Schizosaccharomyces pombe: one gene and its partners. Each later gene encodes a partner of the first gene's protein in a complex. Each region holds a gene or a part of one and is shown on either strand. Other genes may lie near its edges. The genes, in order: med1, pmc3, med20 and med14.

Region 1 (4,347 bases):
GATGGTTTGAACCAGTTAATAAATTGCTGCATCCGGCTTTTCGTTCTCGTAGGAGTTTTCTTTCCATTCCGGTAGCTAGATTTGGTAGAAGAATCAGCTATGTAAGCATGTGGTATTGCCGGTACGTCAGGGGCATCCTCGTGTTTAGCTTTACTTCCTTTCTTCATACGAGAAGAACTTCTCGAAAAACTCAATCTGCTAAAAAAGCCACCTCTTGAAGATCTACCTTCTTTGTTGGAAGATTTCTGTGATTTAGACTCATTTTGGACAGTATTCCCATGTTTAGCTTCATGGTTACGATGCCCATCAACGTTTGTCTTCTGAGAAACCGCTTTAGGAGCAGCTTTCGGATCAGGATTTCTACTGTCGGGATGAACTTGAGATGATGTAGTAGTATTATTGTGATTATCGGATGAAACAGGTTTGTTGTTATCGAAGACAGAGGGGGTAGCAAAAGAGTGTGATTTGGTTTGTGATCCTACATGTGAGTGATTATTTTTAACATTAGAAAGGGTTATTTGACTATGGGGGGAAAGTTCTTTGAAAAAAGAATTGGATGTCTTCAAAGGGGATTGGATTGTAGAAAGATTCTTCGATTCTGAACTTGATTTCGTAAGGGATCCAGATATATTTGCTTTAGGATGTTGGTGATCAGTGGAATGACCTATATTAGGAGGAATAGTTGGAACAGGAGGAATTCCAGACTTATTTCCAATAGAAGCTGCTCTGGGATGTGAAGTAGAATGGAAGTTAGTATGACGCCAACTACCGGATCTCTTTGGAGCCATTGAAGCATGGTATGCATGGTTCCCCGAGGAAAAAACGCTAGATTGTAAAGGAACGGATGATACATCTTGTGTAATAGATATAACCCCACTCAAATGCCCCCCATTATTTTGCTGATTCCAATCACTAGGCTTTGATGAACGATTATAATATGATAAGGAAGTTCCAAAACTCTTAGAGTTCGATATTGAAGATGTCCTATGATGTGAAGAAGTATTCAACGACGAAGGATTGTTCTGCTGAGATGACTCGAAATCGATTGGGTTATTACCAATACTTATGTTTGACAAACGGTGTATGGAATTCCTCGGACTGTTTTTCTGTCTATAATCGTGATCAAAACTACTTCGGAGTAAACCATTGCCAGTCGAGTGGTGTATAGTAATAGCATGATTATCCATAGATGAACCAACTCCCTTTGGTTCAACATTCATAAATAACTCATCTTTATGCTCTTGTTCCGGAAAAGAAATGTTCGTATTTGAGGCATTCGTCGAAGGACTCGTATCTGCTGCTGTACTGCTAGAACTCTGGCGGTTTGGACAAATATCGTTGGAATAACTACCAACGGCAGAAAGTTCAGATGGGTTTAATAGTTCAGATTTTATTCCGAACATGTTTGCGCTTTTCCGGTTTGATGTATGAAGTTTAAATAATGCATCCGTATTTTCGTCGCCCAGAGAAACCGCTTTTTGGGACTGCAAATAGCCCATTTGCAAACTTTGCTTCAAAAAGCCAAAATTCTCACTATATTACGCTTTTACTGGCTTTTTTGAAACAAAATATTGTTTCTATAAGCTCCCTCCTTCAGTTACAGTCTCTTATCTTCTTTAAAATGCAAACTAGTAGCAGTACGTTCGTGGCTAATTAAAGCCGCGCTACACCCTGCATATCAATACCAACCACTTCTGAAAGGGCACGCAAGCTGTAAATGAAACATAGAACGCTTATTGATTTGTGCACAAATTTTACCAAAAAGAAAATATTTTATTAAGATTTACTGCATATATATTTTGATGCTTTAAAAAGAGTTTGAGTGAACATACTTTGGGTTTTTTTTAGTCCAAGGTTTAAAATTGGTTTTCATTTGTATACATATAAAATTCCCCATAACTACTGTTTTAACCCTCGTTATAAAGATAAATCAATCACACAGACCTTCCCATTGAAACTAAGTTTTAGGCGGTTCAAAATTACCTACTTGTTTTTGCAATTAATGCGTTTCTAGCAAATAGTTTGATGGCAGTAAAGGCTTCCTTTTTGCAGAACAAATTAAATTGCTCGCTGAACAGACATAAAATTGCGCTTATATACAGTGTTTTAAGCTGATTAAATACGAAATACACGACTAATTTACTAAATCTTCTTTAATAATCTTTTCGATGGATAGACCACATCTCTTTTCTGAAGTTCATTTCCGTCGAAACGCCTCTAACCCCAATCAGATTAACTGGACGCGTTATTGGATTGATTGTCTATCATCAGTTCCTTGGAATGATATCTCTGTAACTGGATTTGAATATTTGGCTAAAAAGTATGGTCTGGAGGTTTTTCAAGACTCCTCCAAACCCAATGAAGTGGTCCTCAGTTTAGCTGGAAAAATAATTTTGATCGACGTAAGTTTAAATCCTGTACATAACCGTTTTACTAATTAGTATCTAGATCACTGTTCCCATAAATGCGTCTCCAAAAGATATCAACGTTGTTTTGGCTTTTGCAAACGCTAGTGGTGAGCAATATAATAATCCTGTTGCAGAAAAATTACTTAAGGATGCAATTTACAATTGCAATACCCCACTATTTGAAAAGAATGTCAAATGGTTGGCTACCTTTGATCACTCCTCTCCTTCGGTCCAACAAAGTTGTTTCCAATATTTAGACTCACTATCCTCTTCTTTAAATGCTATTTATGAAGCAGAATTATCTTTGCTAGCACAAGAAGAAAATGTTATAATGCATGGAAACGGAAAGCCTCTCAGTAATTACGAAGGACAACTTGGTTTGCGTATTGTATACTGGAAGCTTTTGGATAAAACCTATAGCACTCAAATTTTTATGGATAATTTGTCTCATGAGTCGCTACCTCACTTGTTATTCGGATATAATTTATTAAATTCTCCTCCTATCCTCCAATCATCAAAAATTAATTGGGCACTTGAAAATACTTTGACACCTATTCCTACAACAATGGAACTAGTTTTTGATGATATCAATTTAATAATACCAGAGCAGGGCGTCAAACCTTTACTTGATTTGCTTCATGTCCATGACATTACCATTCCTTGGCCTGTCCAAAATTATAGTCATATGGTAAGTACTTTCCCTAAATATCAACTTAACTAATTTCACCAGCTTGGTTTACCTTCAAAATCAACCGTGAACTACAAATTCATTAATAAAAATCAAGCCATCCAGCTAACAGGGTTCGATGTTTCCGCACGTTCTTTGCGTCACGTACCGTTTCATCATCCCAAGCAAATTCGAGGAATACTTGCTATTGTACGCCAATATTTATTATTACAATTGATTTTGGAAAATATCAAATCAGCAGATTTAGCAGAGACTGCGGCATCTTCCTCCCTTCACCTCTCTCTATATTTTAAGGAGCATCCGATCGTTCATGCCCAATATCAAGAAATCAACAAACTGAATAATTCCGAACAAATTATCATTGTTCTATCCGTATTGTCAGATGGAAGACTGAATGTTGATTATATGTCTAGTGGTGGCAAAGAATTGTCAAAACAACAGTCTCATGTTTTTCAAAAACTTATACAACAAACATGTAACATCGGACTTGCGATAGAAGTGTTTATAAAGAAAGTCGTTAATTAGAATTTCATGCTAGAAAAAGACATTACTAATCAGTTTTAAAAATCTTTAGTAAAATGAAATTATGGAATTAGTTGGATGTTTTGAATAGTATAAATTGAACACTTTAAAAGGCTAGCCTATTTTACAAAAATCAGAACACTTTAATAGATATATTCAACTTACGAGAAACTAATTTGCTAAAACTTGAAAGAATCAGCTTAATATTTTAGAGAACAGGATTGTAAGTTATTCAATTCTCAAAGCACAAATTGTGGTAGAGAGTAAAAAGAGGCCGTTCTTATTCGTCGTCGTCTTCTTCTTCTTCCTCCTCATCTTCACTCTCAGATTCGTCACTTGCTTCAGCCAACCATGTCAAAAAAGGTTCAGCAGCTTCATGAATCTTCTTACTAGTTTCACGGCTCACATATTTCTTGCTAGCCTTTGCTCCCCATTTCTCAAACATGTCATCAGAGACCAAGTCATTCTGATAAATCTCCAAGAGTACCTTGGGAACAACGTCGATGTGCACTAATTCAGTGTTTTCCATCAAACGTTCAAACCCACCAAGAAGAGCACGTTCATGTTTATCTGTCGTGCAAAGCTTTTTAAACAATGCACCATGCTTTTCAAACTCCCCAACGTAAGGCGAAGTAATAATACATTGAACTAGTACAACAATAGCTTTACTTTTATGATGAATATTCTCTTCCTTCATCTTTTTGTAAATTTCAACATCAGAAACACCAG
Region 2 (4,050 bases), 4.0 Mb from region 1:
TGAATCGTGGTGATTCTCGGATGGGCGGTCGAGGAAGCAATCCACCATTTAGCTCTAGTGATTGGTCTAATAACAAAGATGGTTATGCTAGACTTGGACAAGGTATAAGAGGTCTCAAATCTGGTACTCAGGGTTCTCACGGTCCCACAAGTTTGAGTTCAATGCTTAAAGGTGGAAGCGTTAGTAGAACGCCTTCTCGTCAAAACAGTGCCTTAAGAAGGGAACAGTCTGTTCGTGCACCACCATCTAACGTCGCGGTTACTTCTGCTAATTCTTTCGAATTACTTGAAGAGCATGACCATGATAATGATGGGGGTCAAAAAGATTCTAACTCAAAAACTAGTTCGTAAAGTAATCGGATTTGAATCTGTAATTTAAGTCTTTCATCTTTTGGTTTGTTTTGATTGTTTTGCTATGGATGAATCCATCATTTATCAGGGTTAACGGGAAATGGACTTTATAGTATAAGGTAATACATTCTCTACATTGTAATTGAGAAATGCTTTGGAAAATTTTAATTTCATTCATTGAGTTACGCATAGCCCAATTTACAGTATCTATATCACTAAAAGAGTAGTACTTTTGAATTTTTAGTATACAAAACCATGATATATTAAGGTATTTGAAGTTTGTAGAACAGGCTTGAGTAGTCCAACAAGATTTGGAAATTATAAATATCAAGGAGTCAGAAGACATTGAGTTTATTCCAACATCTGCATGTGATTGAAATGCACTTCTTTGAAAGTGATAATTGTAACTCAAGCTCAAAACGAAGCAAAAATGGCAATTATGAACGTCTTATTTCATTTGAATATCAAAATTAGTGTTTCACAAATCTGACTGAGCCGGCACGCATTCTGCATGTAACGCTAATATATCTTTAGAAGTAGGCTTCACTGTTGAGTTTGCGTTTCTTCGAACAGAAGGAAGCTCCAGGTACACAGGAGAAATGAGACTTTTACAAAAGTCACACGGCTTAGAATAAAGATGCTGATAATCAAGTATTTTAGGCTACACACGGTTAGCAGAGGTTTTGTCTAACAACCTCAAAAACACATACCATAAGAGACCATAAATTTCCAAGGAAGTTGTTGTTACGGTTAATTGAAAAAGTAATAGCATCGTCTTTGCTAGATGAACAATAAACACTAAATTTCCCCCTAGTATCATGAAAGAAAATAAACTCTAGCTCGTTTGCTAGTTTCAAAGTGAAAGACTTGTTTTCATGCGTTGTAAGAATAGACCCTGAAGCCTCAATATCACCTTTAAAAGACTCTATGTTTATATCCGAATTTTGGAAATTGTCATTATCATGCAATTCACTGTGATGCGGCTCCTTTAAGTCTAATGCAGACTTCCCATTAATGGATTTTGTTTCATTATTTTCGGTATCATTAGACAAATCTTCTGAATTGTATAAATAAGTAGGGAGCAAATTAGAGGAATCGGCTTGTAAAGACTTTTCAGCATAATCAAAAACGTCTGTTAATTAGCAAAAATTTAAGCTAAAAATAATTTGCATGCATACTTTGACTGGATTTAAGATGTGTATAAAAGGAATTTACTTTTTCAATCGCTTCTTGAGCACTTTTCTCAAATTTCCGACCTAATTAATTAGTACTCGAGCAAAATTTAAATTTAATATGAAAGATAATCATCATATCATTTTCCCTTAGTGTAAACTTTAACTCGTTTTTCTTAAAGAATTTAGTTATTTAAACAATTACTTACTTGTGCCGGTTTCAGGATGTAATAATTTTAAAAGGGATGGACAAATAGTTCTTAATTCAGCAAGCTAAAATTAATAAAATGTCTTCTGAAATTAGACAAACCTGTTCGTGAAGCTGATTTAAATCCAATAGCTTGTGCTTTAATTCATCTCTTGTACGCTGCTCTTCTAATGACATTTCTGGTAGCCTTAACAAACTTAAAATAATTATGAAAAAAAAATTAACAATGCGTATATTAAATAAATATTGATGGTAAATGGAGAGAATTCAAAAATCGGCACATCCAAATAGTAGATGGTAAGATGTCGGCTGTCATTAACGAACTTACATTCATCTAAAAACCTTTAAAAAATAATTCAACCCCAGTGCTATTGAGAAAGAAGATTGTTATTATATTCAAAATATAGGAAATTTGAAAATATGACCGAACAATTTGAGTCAACTTCTTTTCCATCTGACATTCCCGCCGTGAACGAAGAAAGCAAACTTTCAGCTGAGGAAACATTTAAGAGCCTTTCTGAAATTGTAAGTTAAGTTTTATTATCTAATTTTCGTCTCTATTTTTTTTTTAATTCACCATAATTTATACTAACCATCATCAATCAGTTGGCAGAAAATAGCACTTTGCCAGTGGGTATTTCTTCCATTCGAGTTACTGGTGCACATCATACTAGGCCAAGTTTCATTCGCAAAGTATTGAAAACATGTTTGGATACGTCGAAACCGGCCAAAAGTCGATCTTTGCTTGAAACATTAAATGCTATTCAAGAAACTACTGGGAATTTGATGGCATTCAACGTTTATGAAACTGCCAATATTAAAATAGATCGTGCTAGCTCTTCTGTTTCTGGAGATGATGATCTTGATGTTACCATTCAAGTAAAAGAGAAACCACGTTTATATGTAGAAACCGGCACTGATGTTGGTAACGTTGAAGGCAATGTACATGCTAATGTTCTTGCAAGAAATGTTTTTGGAGGAGCTGAACTTCTTTCTGGTAACGTTTCATATGGAACTCGTAATCGGTCTACCATGTCCGTGAACTTTGAGACCCCAGTAAACGCAGATCCTAAAACCCGTTTACGATTCAATGGCCACAGTAACTTGAGAGACAATAAATCTATTTCGAGCCATGACTTACTTACTAAAGGAATTACGCTTTCATTGCAGCATCAAGATCTGTGGTCTGGCGAGCATTTACTTTCACAAAACTTATTGTGGAGGCAAGTTACTCATCTCACTGAATATGCTTCTCCAAGCGTACGACTTGAGGCCGGTGATTCATTAAAACAATCTCTTTCCTATACGTATACACGCGATACACGCGATCATCTTATGATACCCACGAAGGGAGATTATGTGAGGCAGACTTTAGAGCTCGCTGGGTTCGGATTTCTTCCAGGAGATGCGAGCTTTCTAAAATCAGAATTCTGGGGTCAAAAAGCTGTGGCTTTAAATTCTTCTAGGTCTGTTTCTCTTTCTTTGTCCGCCCGGATTGGAGCATTGCATAGTCTAAATAAGAAGCAAGTCAGTCTGTGTGATCGTTTCATGTTAGGCGGTTCAACTAGCCTTCGTGGTTTTTCAGAAGACCGTATAGGTCCAAAAGATGGCAGGGATTCTTTAGGCGGGACCGCATATATGGCTTTCTCCATGAGCTTGCTATTCCCTTTGCCAAAAGTTGATGCTTCTAAACCATTTCGCTTACAGTTGTTTGCGAATGCTGGAGGGCTATCGAATTTGACTTCTCCAAATCCATGTGGCACATACAAATCAATACTTTCTAAGCCTTGTATCTCTACAGGCTTAGGTTTAGTCTATGCAACTCCCGCTGCGCGTTTCGAGCTGAACTTTACCTTACCAATCGCTACTACCGAAAAGGATATCGGTCGTAAAGGCCTGCAATTCGGCGCGGGTATCGATTTCATGTAATGATTTTCCTTTTTAACTTTTTACTTTAATAAGGTCTCTACTATTCCCATCTCTGACTTGTCTGTCTTTTTCTCTCATTTATGCTAATGATAAGAATGTTACGGTTGACAATTGCTTTTACTGCGTTTGAATTAAATTTTCATGCATATTTATAATTGTCATACAAATATTTTGCTTTTGGTCAAGATTTATGAATTTCACAGAATTTCAATAACCATATATGAATAAATTTAAACGAAGATAGTTACATAACATCAGAGTATCTTTTGTATTTTTATTATTAAAAGAAGATTAATAATTGCAATTAGTCGAAAAATAAACTACGACTTTAAAATGAGATAGAAGAGCCTTTAATCCTTCTTTGAAGGTCTTGCTAGCTAGAAAAAGCGCA
Region 3 (3,483 bases), 1.8 Mb from region 1:
TGAGGGACCAAAAGGTGGACCTGGTATGCCGGAAATGTTAAAGCCTTCAAGTGCTATTATGGGAGCTGGTCTTGGAAAGGATGTTGCACTTTTGACTGACGGTCGTTTCAGTGGTGGCTCTCACGGATTTTTGATTGGACACGTTGATCCCGAAGCACAAGTTGGAGGCCCTATTGCTCTTGTTCAGGACGGCGATGTCATTGAAATCAATGCTGTAAAGAACACTTTAGATTTGATGGTTGATGAGAAGGAGATGGCGAGACGCCGCAGTGTTTGGAAGGCACCTCCTTTGAAGTACCAACAAGGAACCCTTTTAAAATATGCTCGCAACGTTAGCACTGCCTCCAAGGGTGCTGTTACAGATTCCTTAGAGTAAAGCATATTCAATGCTTTTATAAGCGCGCATAGTATTTTGGAAACTTAGACGTTTAATGTTTTGGTAGTAAAGGTTGATTAATAAGCTTTTAATGCTGATTCCATAATCTCATCTAGAGTTTATTTGAATAATTTTGAATGAATAATTACTTTTTGGAGTACAGTGAAATGCATCGAGTTTAAAATGGGTTGTTATTCAAACTCCTGCATTTCTATTTTATTATTAAACATAATTGGTATCTGTAAATGTGAAAGGGAGCCATAACTTTCTGCTGACAATAAAGCAAGACTTTGACAGTTAGTTAGATAGAAATTTATTTACAGAAAAAATTTAAATTGATACTTTTTTATTCTATGTGCGTTGTGAAACGGTATCAATGCGTTGTTTAAACAACTGTAGTAGAAGTTTTGAATCCAAAGAATGACGAGGCTGGTTAAAGAAGCTTTCATAGACAGGGGTTACCGATTTATTATTTTGTAAAAAGCATTTAAGAAAGAATTCTTGAATAATAGGGCGTGCGAGATCGACGGACTCAGTACCATCGTAAGTTACATGAAAAAGTATACCCTTCCAAACGGACTTTTGTAAAACGTTGGCAATAGCCACTTTAAAGCTCCCTACTTCATATATTGAACCTTCAATAGTAAAGGACTGCCGAAAATTCCATAATTTCGTTCGCACAATGATGTCCTCAAGTTCAGGTTCTGCATCAATCATTGTCGCTTCATCCACACACGCCAGCATGCTGGGATTAATGTTTTGCTTCAAAAATTCTAAAGTTTTTGGAGTGACAGCATTTCTGTAAAGTTTATACTGAACTACCCATTTTTCTGAAATTCAAAGTTAGATCTTGAAATCATCAATCATAAGAAATAAAATCCAAACCAGTGTCAGCTTACTTAAATGTTGTGCAAAGTAGGTCCTAACCAGATTATCCTGTGCTGGAGAAAGGAACGTCGCCATTGAAGGCGATGAATAATAAATAACTCTATAATCAATCAGCAAAATAGTCAATCGGTATGCTTTTTACCCGTGAACAGGCATATTTTATAACAAAGATGAATGGTAATTAATTATGCATCTGAATATCGGTTTATACCGAATTATTGAGAAAAATGGCCGAATTAGTTCTTTTACTTCTACTGTAATGTTGATGTGAAGAGTTTAATGCGTACGGCGGTTGCAAGAATTGCTAACAGGCTAATTTAAAACCTTCATTTTCATTGTTCCTGTATTAAAAAAAAAAAGCAGATAGACATAATATGAGCTCAAATTTTATTAATTTATCTCTTGTCATTTTTATTATTTTCCAAGTCGCAAAGTATATGGCTTTTGGGTATGATAATCCCAGAGCAAATTGTTAAAAGCTTGAAGAGAATTAAGTTAACTGAATTACATTCATAATTAACTTCTGGAGAGTCAAATACTACGTAACAATGTAACTGGCTGGTTTGAGCACTAATTAAAAATCTGTTAATCCCAGGATGTTACATATGTGTCTCTTCGTTTTACTTTGAACTTTACACAAGAAACTACATAGTTCTGTCAGCAAAATAAGTCTTAAAAGTTATTGTTCGAATAGAAGTATAAACTCATACATCAATATACATACTGAAAATAGATAGAAGCAAAAAAAAAATTACTTTTAATCTTTATTCAACTAATTACTAGGCTGTATCTAACATATTTTCTTCTGAATCACCATAGGCAGAAATGTAAAATATGTAACCAATTTCTGTCTACAAGTTATTCAGAACTTTACATCTAAGACCAAAGGTAGAGATGATTATTTACAAATAAAAAAAAATAAACATCCACAAAAGAGGTCTATGGAGTACTGAAGAAGTTAGTAATGCTGTTACCAGACTTATATAGCTCCGCTCAAAAATTATAAGTTAAAGTTATAAGATTAAAAAAATATAAATATATTTTTTTGAATTTTCTTAACTTATTGGTTAAATTAATATACTCTATGAATTATAATAACTTCAGTTACAGACTTGCGTTCGACCGTTGTATGATGCCTCTTTAGAGCTACACACAGCTGAAACTTAACCTGTTCCATCGTTTTCTTTACCTTACCAGTTATAGAGTTATAAAATGACGTTTCGGACTTTGGATGTCGACTCCATCACAGAACCTGTTTTAACAGAGCAAGATATATTTCCAATTCGTAACGAAACGGCGGAGCAAGTCCAAGCAGCCGTCTCTCAACTCATTCCTCAAGCCCGGTCTGCCATTCAAACGTATGTTTATTTAAAAGAAGCAATTTTTTTATTAATTAAAATAGAGGAAATGCCTTACAAGGTTTGAAAACCTTACTCTCATATGTTCCTTATGGAAATGATGTTCAAGAAGTTAGGGTATGTGCAAACTGTACAAACTGCTTAAAGACGGTTTATATCAATTACGTTTTTATTTATTGATTAAATTTACAATTCTTCTTGATTTCATTTTATTATGGTGTAAATGAATTTTAACTTTTTTAGACTCAATATTTGAATGCTTTTGTTGATGTATTAAGCAATATACGAGCTGCTGACATTCCCGCATTTGTAAAAGAATGTTCAACGGAGGAAATTGATAATATTGTAAACTTCATTTATCGTGGATTGGCGAATCCTCAAGCCTACAACTCGTCTGTATTACTTAATTGGCACGAAAAGGTAACTTTTAGTTTATTGCTTTTCCCAACGCTCTAGCATTGCTTATCTCATGCTTTACATTTTTATTCGGTCACTAATACGGTTTTGTAGGTGGTGGAAATATCCGGTATAGGATGTATAGTTCGTGTTCTCAATAGTAGACCCGATCTATAAATATGGCTTTATCTTACTTTTTGGTATCTACTATTCTGTCGCTTATGGAACTGAATCAATGATTCTGTTTTATGTCTTCTTTCCCACATAATGACTCTTTTTATCCTTTAAATTGAGCTAGAATTTTCTAAATGGTTAGTAAGTATGTTCCATTTTAAAAAATAAAGTGCAATCGATTTACGCCTTTGCTGAAAAGATAATAAATCTAGTTTATTCAATATTAGCTTACTCTTTGAATACTTCGAACATGTTCTGGCTGTACTCTTCTTTCCCCAGTCTTAGCCGCTT
Region 4 (5,649 bases), on another chromosome or scaffold:
TTTTAATTTTTTCTGATAAATACTTTAATCTTAAAATAAATGAATTCAAGCAACTACAAATAATCGATACCAAATCGACAAGTCCTTTCTACGTAGTCCGATAACACAAAGTAATGTTTTCAAAAGAAAAAGGAATTAAAAATTGAAGATTTCAAGACAAATGATTGAAGGAACACTCACTTTTCCTACTAGTATATCTTCTGGTGGTATTGTTTACATTTGGTAGAAGAAGACCTTGCAATTGTTAGTGTGAATGCGATGAATAGCAAACTGCCTTCCACATCACAACCACAACAAGAAACTTAAAAGGAATTCAATTTTTGAAAAGACGGTATCTAAAGAAAATCATATACCAATGAATAACATAACGAAATTAATGAAACAAAAGAATATTTTGACACCTCCTTTGCCTCTGTACCGAAGGGTGTTGAGAGCGCATCGCTATCACCTAGGAGCAGAAGAACGAGCTTTAGGAGATGAATATGTAAAGGCGGAATTTCGAAGACATCGGAACGTAACAAATCCTTTGCATTTAGTAGGATTTTTAAGCTCGTGGGAGAGGTATGCGGATGCACTAGAAAACGAGAGCTGGAAACAGGAAAAATACAGTAATACGGATCTACTAGAATCTTTAAATGACCAGCAAATCGGACAGGTAAGAAAACTTATATTAGATTGAGGTTTATTATTAAAAGAAGAGAACTTTTACCAGTGCTCTTGAACTTATTGCTTCTTTTTTTGGACCTATAGTTTCTAACTATTATTGGCAGTTGTACGAGCTCTCAAAAGCTCTTCAGGAACAGAAAAAGTCTGAGTAGTGGTCGCGGAATCTGATTCTTTATCAGACATCTCTTTGTTATTAGAAGGATTTTGATTGTTTGAGTTGTCGTCATTTTTATTGGCACTTTGAGACGACATCTGCAAATCGTTATTAACTCGAGCATGTGCAAGCTCAACCAAAAACCTATAAAGTTGTTAATGAATGATCTGGACTACTCGTAAAAAAGTGAACGAGATGTTCAACTTCCTCATGGATAAACGTACCATGTTAGCGACAGCCACAAACAGATTGCCAGGAAAAATAAGATGAGACAATGAATACTTTTTGTACCTATATAAAGTCCAAGAAAAACAGCGACAAGTGCACCACAGGCTACGTGTGCTGACTTAGCCAATACAGGTGTGACACCTGGTGTGAAAATTGATTCCCATAGTTCCACCCAATACGACATGATCTTTTTCTTATTGGAATACTACTTGGAAATGTAGTAGCTATGAATTGACGTTGTTAAACCACCGTTTGTGTTCTAGCGATAAAATCTGGCCTTTATAGTGTGCGTGTGCTATTGAATTAATTTAGCAACGAGACCGATGTTGGAGTTCATTAAAAGTTAAAATGGATTTCAAGAAATCCATATCTTATACTACTATTAAAACCGAAGGTTATGCTTCCATTTGTCCAAATTTATTGTTAATAGAGCTTTGAATCATTCAAATGGAATAGTGCTCTACTTTTGTTTTGCTATATTAAAAATTTTTTGTCAGCTTCTTGTGGTCGTGGAGAAAATAATTAAATGATCAAAACAAATGTTATTTTTCGGCTTAGCTCTTCTAAATTACTGTTTTATTATCATTTTAATGAGACACGCTGAAGCTCTGATTAAAATTGATAGCAAAGTTTGAACAGCTTTAATGATGATTTTCGTTCAGTTTAAAGAAGGGGCTTTTTAACTACTATAGAATTACGAGAATCTTTTTGAACGGTTCCATCTCATTTGTTATTCTTCATTATCCATAGTTTCAAACTATGTTTTATGCGATTATCGCATAACAGGGCATGTTTATACTAGCTCAAATTTATTCAAAATCTCCCATTTTAGTAATATCATTGATCAATTATTATTTAATTCCATTTAAAATTGCTTATTTATTGATTATTCCAATTTTTTGAATGAATAAACCTAAGGCGTTTTAACAATCTCAGTGAATGGCGTAACGAAGGTTATCGAAGAGTTTCACGGGAGCTGTGTGAAGTTGCTTTTGGCACGCTACTCGAAGATTTCTGTAAAAGAGATATAAAGAATCCTTTTTAAGGGTTTTTAAAAGAACAAAACTTATGTTTATTACGAAATTTAGTTTTGGTAAAGGATCGGCTAATTAAAGGCGCTATTACACGAAATTCCTAACTCCTCCAATTGAGGATGGAACCGCCTGCGATTCCACACATTACAGAAGGATTTTATCCTCTTCCTGAGATAGTAGAAACTTTTAGTCATCATGTGTTACAAGAATTGGTGTCTTTAGCCGAAGTTCTACCCTCTATGTCAAATGTCGAGAAAAAGAAAAAGATCTTAGATTGGTTATTACGTTCGCGCGCTTTCACTATGCGTTTGCTAGTTTTAGCGCGTTGGGTACATCTATCTCCTTCAGTTCATCGATGCATAGATGTTGTAGCCTTTCTTCAAGGTCAAAAATTTTGCTTCCAGAATTTAGTTCATGTGTTACAAGATATTCGTTACCAGTTGTCATTTGCACGTCTACGCAACTCAGATTTAGTTACTGCATTAGATATTTTGTCAACTGGCACGAGTCTTCGTCTAGCAAATGCTCCCACTTCAAAATTATACATGCTATCTGAATCACCGCTAAGTACCAAACAAATACTTCAAACCCTTCATGCTCTTAACATGCTTATTAGAATTCGTCTTAGTCTTTATGAAATTATTCCGACACCATTTCAACATTTCACAATTGCTAATGGTCGTTGCACATTTACTGTTCCCAATGAGTTTTCAGTGTCTTTGACAACCAATTCCCAAGATCCTAAATCTACCGGTATTTCATTCCAGTGGATTGTTGTTGACTTTCAATTTCATCTTCCTGATTTTTCTTCTACTCCCGCAAAATATCGGGTTTTTATAGAATTGCATCTCAATGAAGAAATCGCTGCTGCATTCGTTCTACAAAAGCCCATCCTACCTTTAATATATAATATCCTTCATAAATTTTGTTTATATCAGCGCCTTAATTTATTGTCACAACAAACTTTTCAACTATCCAGAGAAAGTTGGTTAGGGCATTTGCGCGGTGTCTATGATGAAAAGCCCCCACGGCTACGTCTATACTATTGGCCCCAATTAAATGTGAAAAAAGAAGGAAAACCCGGAAAAATTGGTCATTATATTCATATATTTGTAAATACTCAACCCATATCCGCCTTTGAGCGTACCCTTAGCTCTAAGAGATCCAGTTGTGAATATGATCATTTTTTATTACTCGTTGAATGGCACCATGATGGCATTGTTGAACATGTACCATTAGATGATCATATGGATGCTCAGCATCTACTATTATTAATTACCCAAAAACACGCTCAACTTATTCTGGAACAAATCCGTAAGGAGCTTCACCCAAATATATTTAGTGAACATGTTGGTGGTGGTCTAAAAATTCATGTCTTTGATAATGAAATAATTGTCAAGGTGAACAGCGTTACCGGCAGGCTCGTGCTGTCGAGTTCGGCTTCACCTTTATCACCTCCCAGGCATCTTCGTGCTGCTGAAAAAAATATTGCTTTGAATACGCAACCTCCCGCCCAAATCTTGAATCGGTTGTATTTCTTTTGTATACAAACGCAGCTATTAGAAGTTGCCCAGTGTGCTGAGTTGCATGCAGTTCAAGGTTACTATTCTTTCCCTTATCTTACATTCTCCAAAGGTAAATGGAGAAAAGATGGCGATTCCCTATGGGTACTCGCGTACAACGTTGAATCCAACTCTTGGTCTGTTAGATTGTTGAACGCTGCGGGTCAAACTCTCTACACCCAAGATGTTCATACTACAAAAGGTACTTTAAGTATTGAAAGTTTTAGCCGTCTTTCGTACCTATTGGAAGTCCAAATACTTTTATTCAATGTTCAAACTGCTTGCCAAGCTCGTGGTATGCCTTTTGAATATTTGCCTATTCCACCAAAAGCCCTAATTGAAGATGACTTTACTACATACGTCCAAACAGGATGCTTATGTATTATGATGCCATCGTCTAATGAAGATATGCTTCCTGTGGTTTTCGTTCGCGCGCATGACGGGCAGTTAATTTTTGACTCCCGAATAAAAGGAAAATTGCCGTATCAGTCTGAGACTGAAACTGAAAAGAACTGCTACATAGATTGGAGAACCGGTCGTATTACCATTCGTGTGCAAAATTTTTCATCTTTCGAAAAAACATGGATTGGATTACTTAAACTTGTTGCTTTGTCTAAAACATCTGCATTCAATGTAGATTGTATCACGTTAAAGCATGTGGACTTTACATATCTCGATGATGAGAAATTTAGGGCTACAATTCATGACGACAACACTTTTACCCTTCATTTTTTTAATCGACATAGTCCGTTTCATCTAATTTCTCAGTTTTTGCAGGATACATTTTCTGATGGGCCCTCAGCTATTCAACCATTACGCGTAATTATGGATAGAACGAGAGGTGTTTTAGTAGCTCAAGAATTGGGCTACGTTGTTTTGGCTCGATCTCTGCGTCAGTACAGAATTATCCTATCCAAAAATCATGGCATTCAAGTTCTTTTAAATCGCCATGGATGTATACTCCAAGATTTATCCTACTTATCTGCCGATTCCCGATACTTGGAAGGAACTCAGACTTTGACGTCTCAATGGGAACCTTGTTCATGGCTTAATACTGTTTGGGAAGGTGACTTGGGTGATGATGAGCTTAATGGTCAGATTGAGGCCGCTCCCGAGATGCACTTAATAAAGATGAACAAAACGGCTGATTTAACAGCCATTCTAAAAAGAATTTTAGCGATCTCTCGAAAAAAATGAACTCATATTAAGCTTTTAATCCTCACCCCCTCCACCGTCCATTCCTTTCGGTGGCAGTGATTAGTGATTGTATATATAAATACGGCAAAAAATGTCTGGTTAATGAGGTAAATGAAAATCGTTTTCTAAAGTATACAAGTGAATGTTACATTGATGATACATGTGATTTATATAATCCAACGTGTAAATTAGAGATCGTCGAATTAACGCTTAATCATTTATGAATAAGCAAAAAACTTCCGTAGGTAAAATGAATTTCTATTATAATCGCCATAATCCCAAGTTTATTCAAAGCTGTGTTCTTTTAAGCTAATAAATTTTATATTGAATCTTTAAGTACCGCTGGCATCAACATACGTTGATCACCACTAGCAGTTGCAGTTCTTAAAGCTTCTCGTAAAGCCATAGTAGCGTAAGCAGAAGATGGAAGTACAAATTTTAACGTAACAGCGGTGTGCTTACCAACCTCAGAACTCACTGAAATAGAACGGTTCTCCAATCTATCCTTATCCGTCAAAATCAGTTGTTGTTCCATATTGTCATACTTTATGAAATTAAACTCCATATTTTCAGGACGCACCAAAAGTTTTCGATAATCACCAGGTAATGAAAGTTCTCTGTCTTTGCGAGACATATTTAATGGATCAAGTGATGCCTCATTCATGACAGACTTGTATATATCGAAAGTTTCATTTTTTGGGTATATTACATTACGACCAGGTAAAGGAAGTACTATGTCGTAAATACTAAAGTTATTGACTTCGTCCTCTTCAATCGGACGAGCTGATAATTTTGAGCTCACAGGTAA

The links.
Region 2: med1 (region 1) and pmc3 share a complex: the UniProt entries of both Schizosaccharomyces pombe proteins name them as parts of the mediator complex.
Region 3: med1 (region 1) and med20 share a complex: the UniProt entries of both Schizosaccharomyces pombe proteins name them as parts of the mediator complex.
Region 4: med1 (region 1) and med14 share a complex: the UniProt entries of both Schizosaccharomyces pombe proteins name them as parts of the mediator complex.

The regions. Positions count from the first base shown.
Region 1 is NC_003424.3:536,227-540,573, forward strand, and holds med1 (mediator complex subunit Med1), read left to right. Parts: upstream 1-1,683; 5' UTR 1,684-2,168; coding exon 2,169-2,402; exon of another isoform or gene 2,403-2,448; coding exon 2,449-3,096; intron 3,097-3,138; coding exon 3,139-3,621; 3' UTR 3,622-3,786; downstream 3,787-4,347. Other genes in the region: DYRK family cell polarity protein kinase Pom1, read right to left, coding at 1-1,499; translation initiation factor Tif5, read right to left, coding at 3,899-4,347. UniProt on the Schizosaccharomyces pombe protein: Component of the Mediator complex, a coactivator involved in the regulated transcription of nearly all RNA polymerase II-dependent genes.
Region 2 is NC_003424.3:4,488,393-4,492,442, reverse strand, and holds pmc3 (mediator complex subunit Med27), read right to left. Parts: upstream 2,038-4,050; 5' UTR 1,908-2,037; coding exon 1,833-1,907; intron 1,796-1,832; coding exon 1,732-1,795; intron 1,607-1,731; coding exon 1,529-1,606; intron 1,483-1,528; coding exon 1,061-1,482; intron 1,012-1,060; coding exon 829-1,011; 3' UTR 501-828; downstream 1-500. Other genes in the region: tif471 (translation initiation factor eIF4G), read left to right, coding at 1-350; sorting and assembly machinery complex subunit Sam50, read left to right, coding at 2,151-2,255, 2,337-3,659. UniProt on the Schizosaccharomyces pombe protein: Component of the Mediator complex, a coactivator involved in the regulated transcription of nearly all RNA polymerase II-dependent genes.
Region 3 is NC_003424.3:2,348,264-2,351,746, reverse strand, and holds med20 (mediator complex subunit Med20), read right to left. Parts: upstream 1,555-3,483; 5' UTR 1,421-1,554; coding exon 1,407-1,420; intron 1,365-1,406; coding exon 1,276-1,364; intron 1,207-1,275; coding exon 728-1,206; 3' UTR 503-727; downstream 1-502. Other genes in the region: ilv3 (dihydroxy-acid dehydratase), read left to right, coding at 1-376; ARP2/3 actin-organizing complex subunit Arc5, read left to right, coding at 2,477-2,622, 2,667-2,739, 2,866-3,042, 3,133-3,195; CENP-W family protein Wip1, read right to left, coding at 3,296-3,322, 3,425-3,483. UniProt on the Schizosaccharomyces pombe protein: Component of the Mediator complex, a coactivator involved in the regulated transcription of nearly all RNA polymerase II-dependent genes.
Region 4 is NC_003423.3:1,995,481-2,001,129, reverse strand, and holds med14 (mediator complex subunit Med14), read left to right. Parts: upstream 1-2,036; 5' UTR 2,037-2,201; coding exon 2,202-4,841; 3' UTR 4,842-5,124; downstream 5,125-5,649. Other genes in the region: sdh7 (ACN9 family protein), read left to right, coding at 356-655, 771-818; V-ATPase assembly factor Pkr1, read right to left, coding at 754-964, 1,045-1,232; pus7 (pseudouridine synthase), read right to left, coding at 5,161-5,649. UniProt on the Schizosaccharomyces pombe protein: Component of the Mediator complex, a coactivator involved in the regulated transcription of nearly all RNA polymerase II-dependent genes.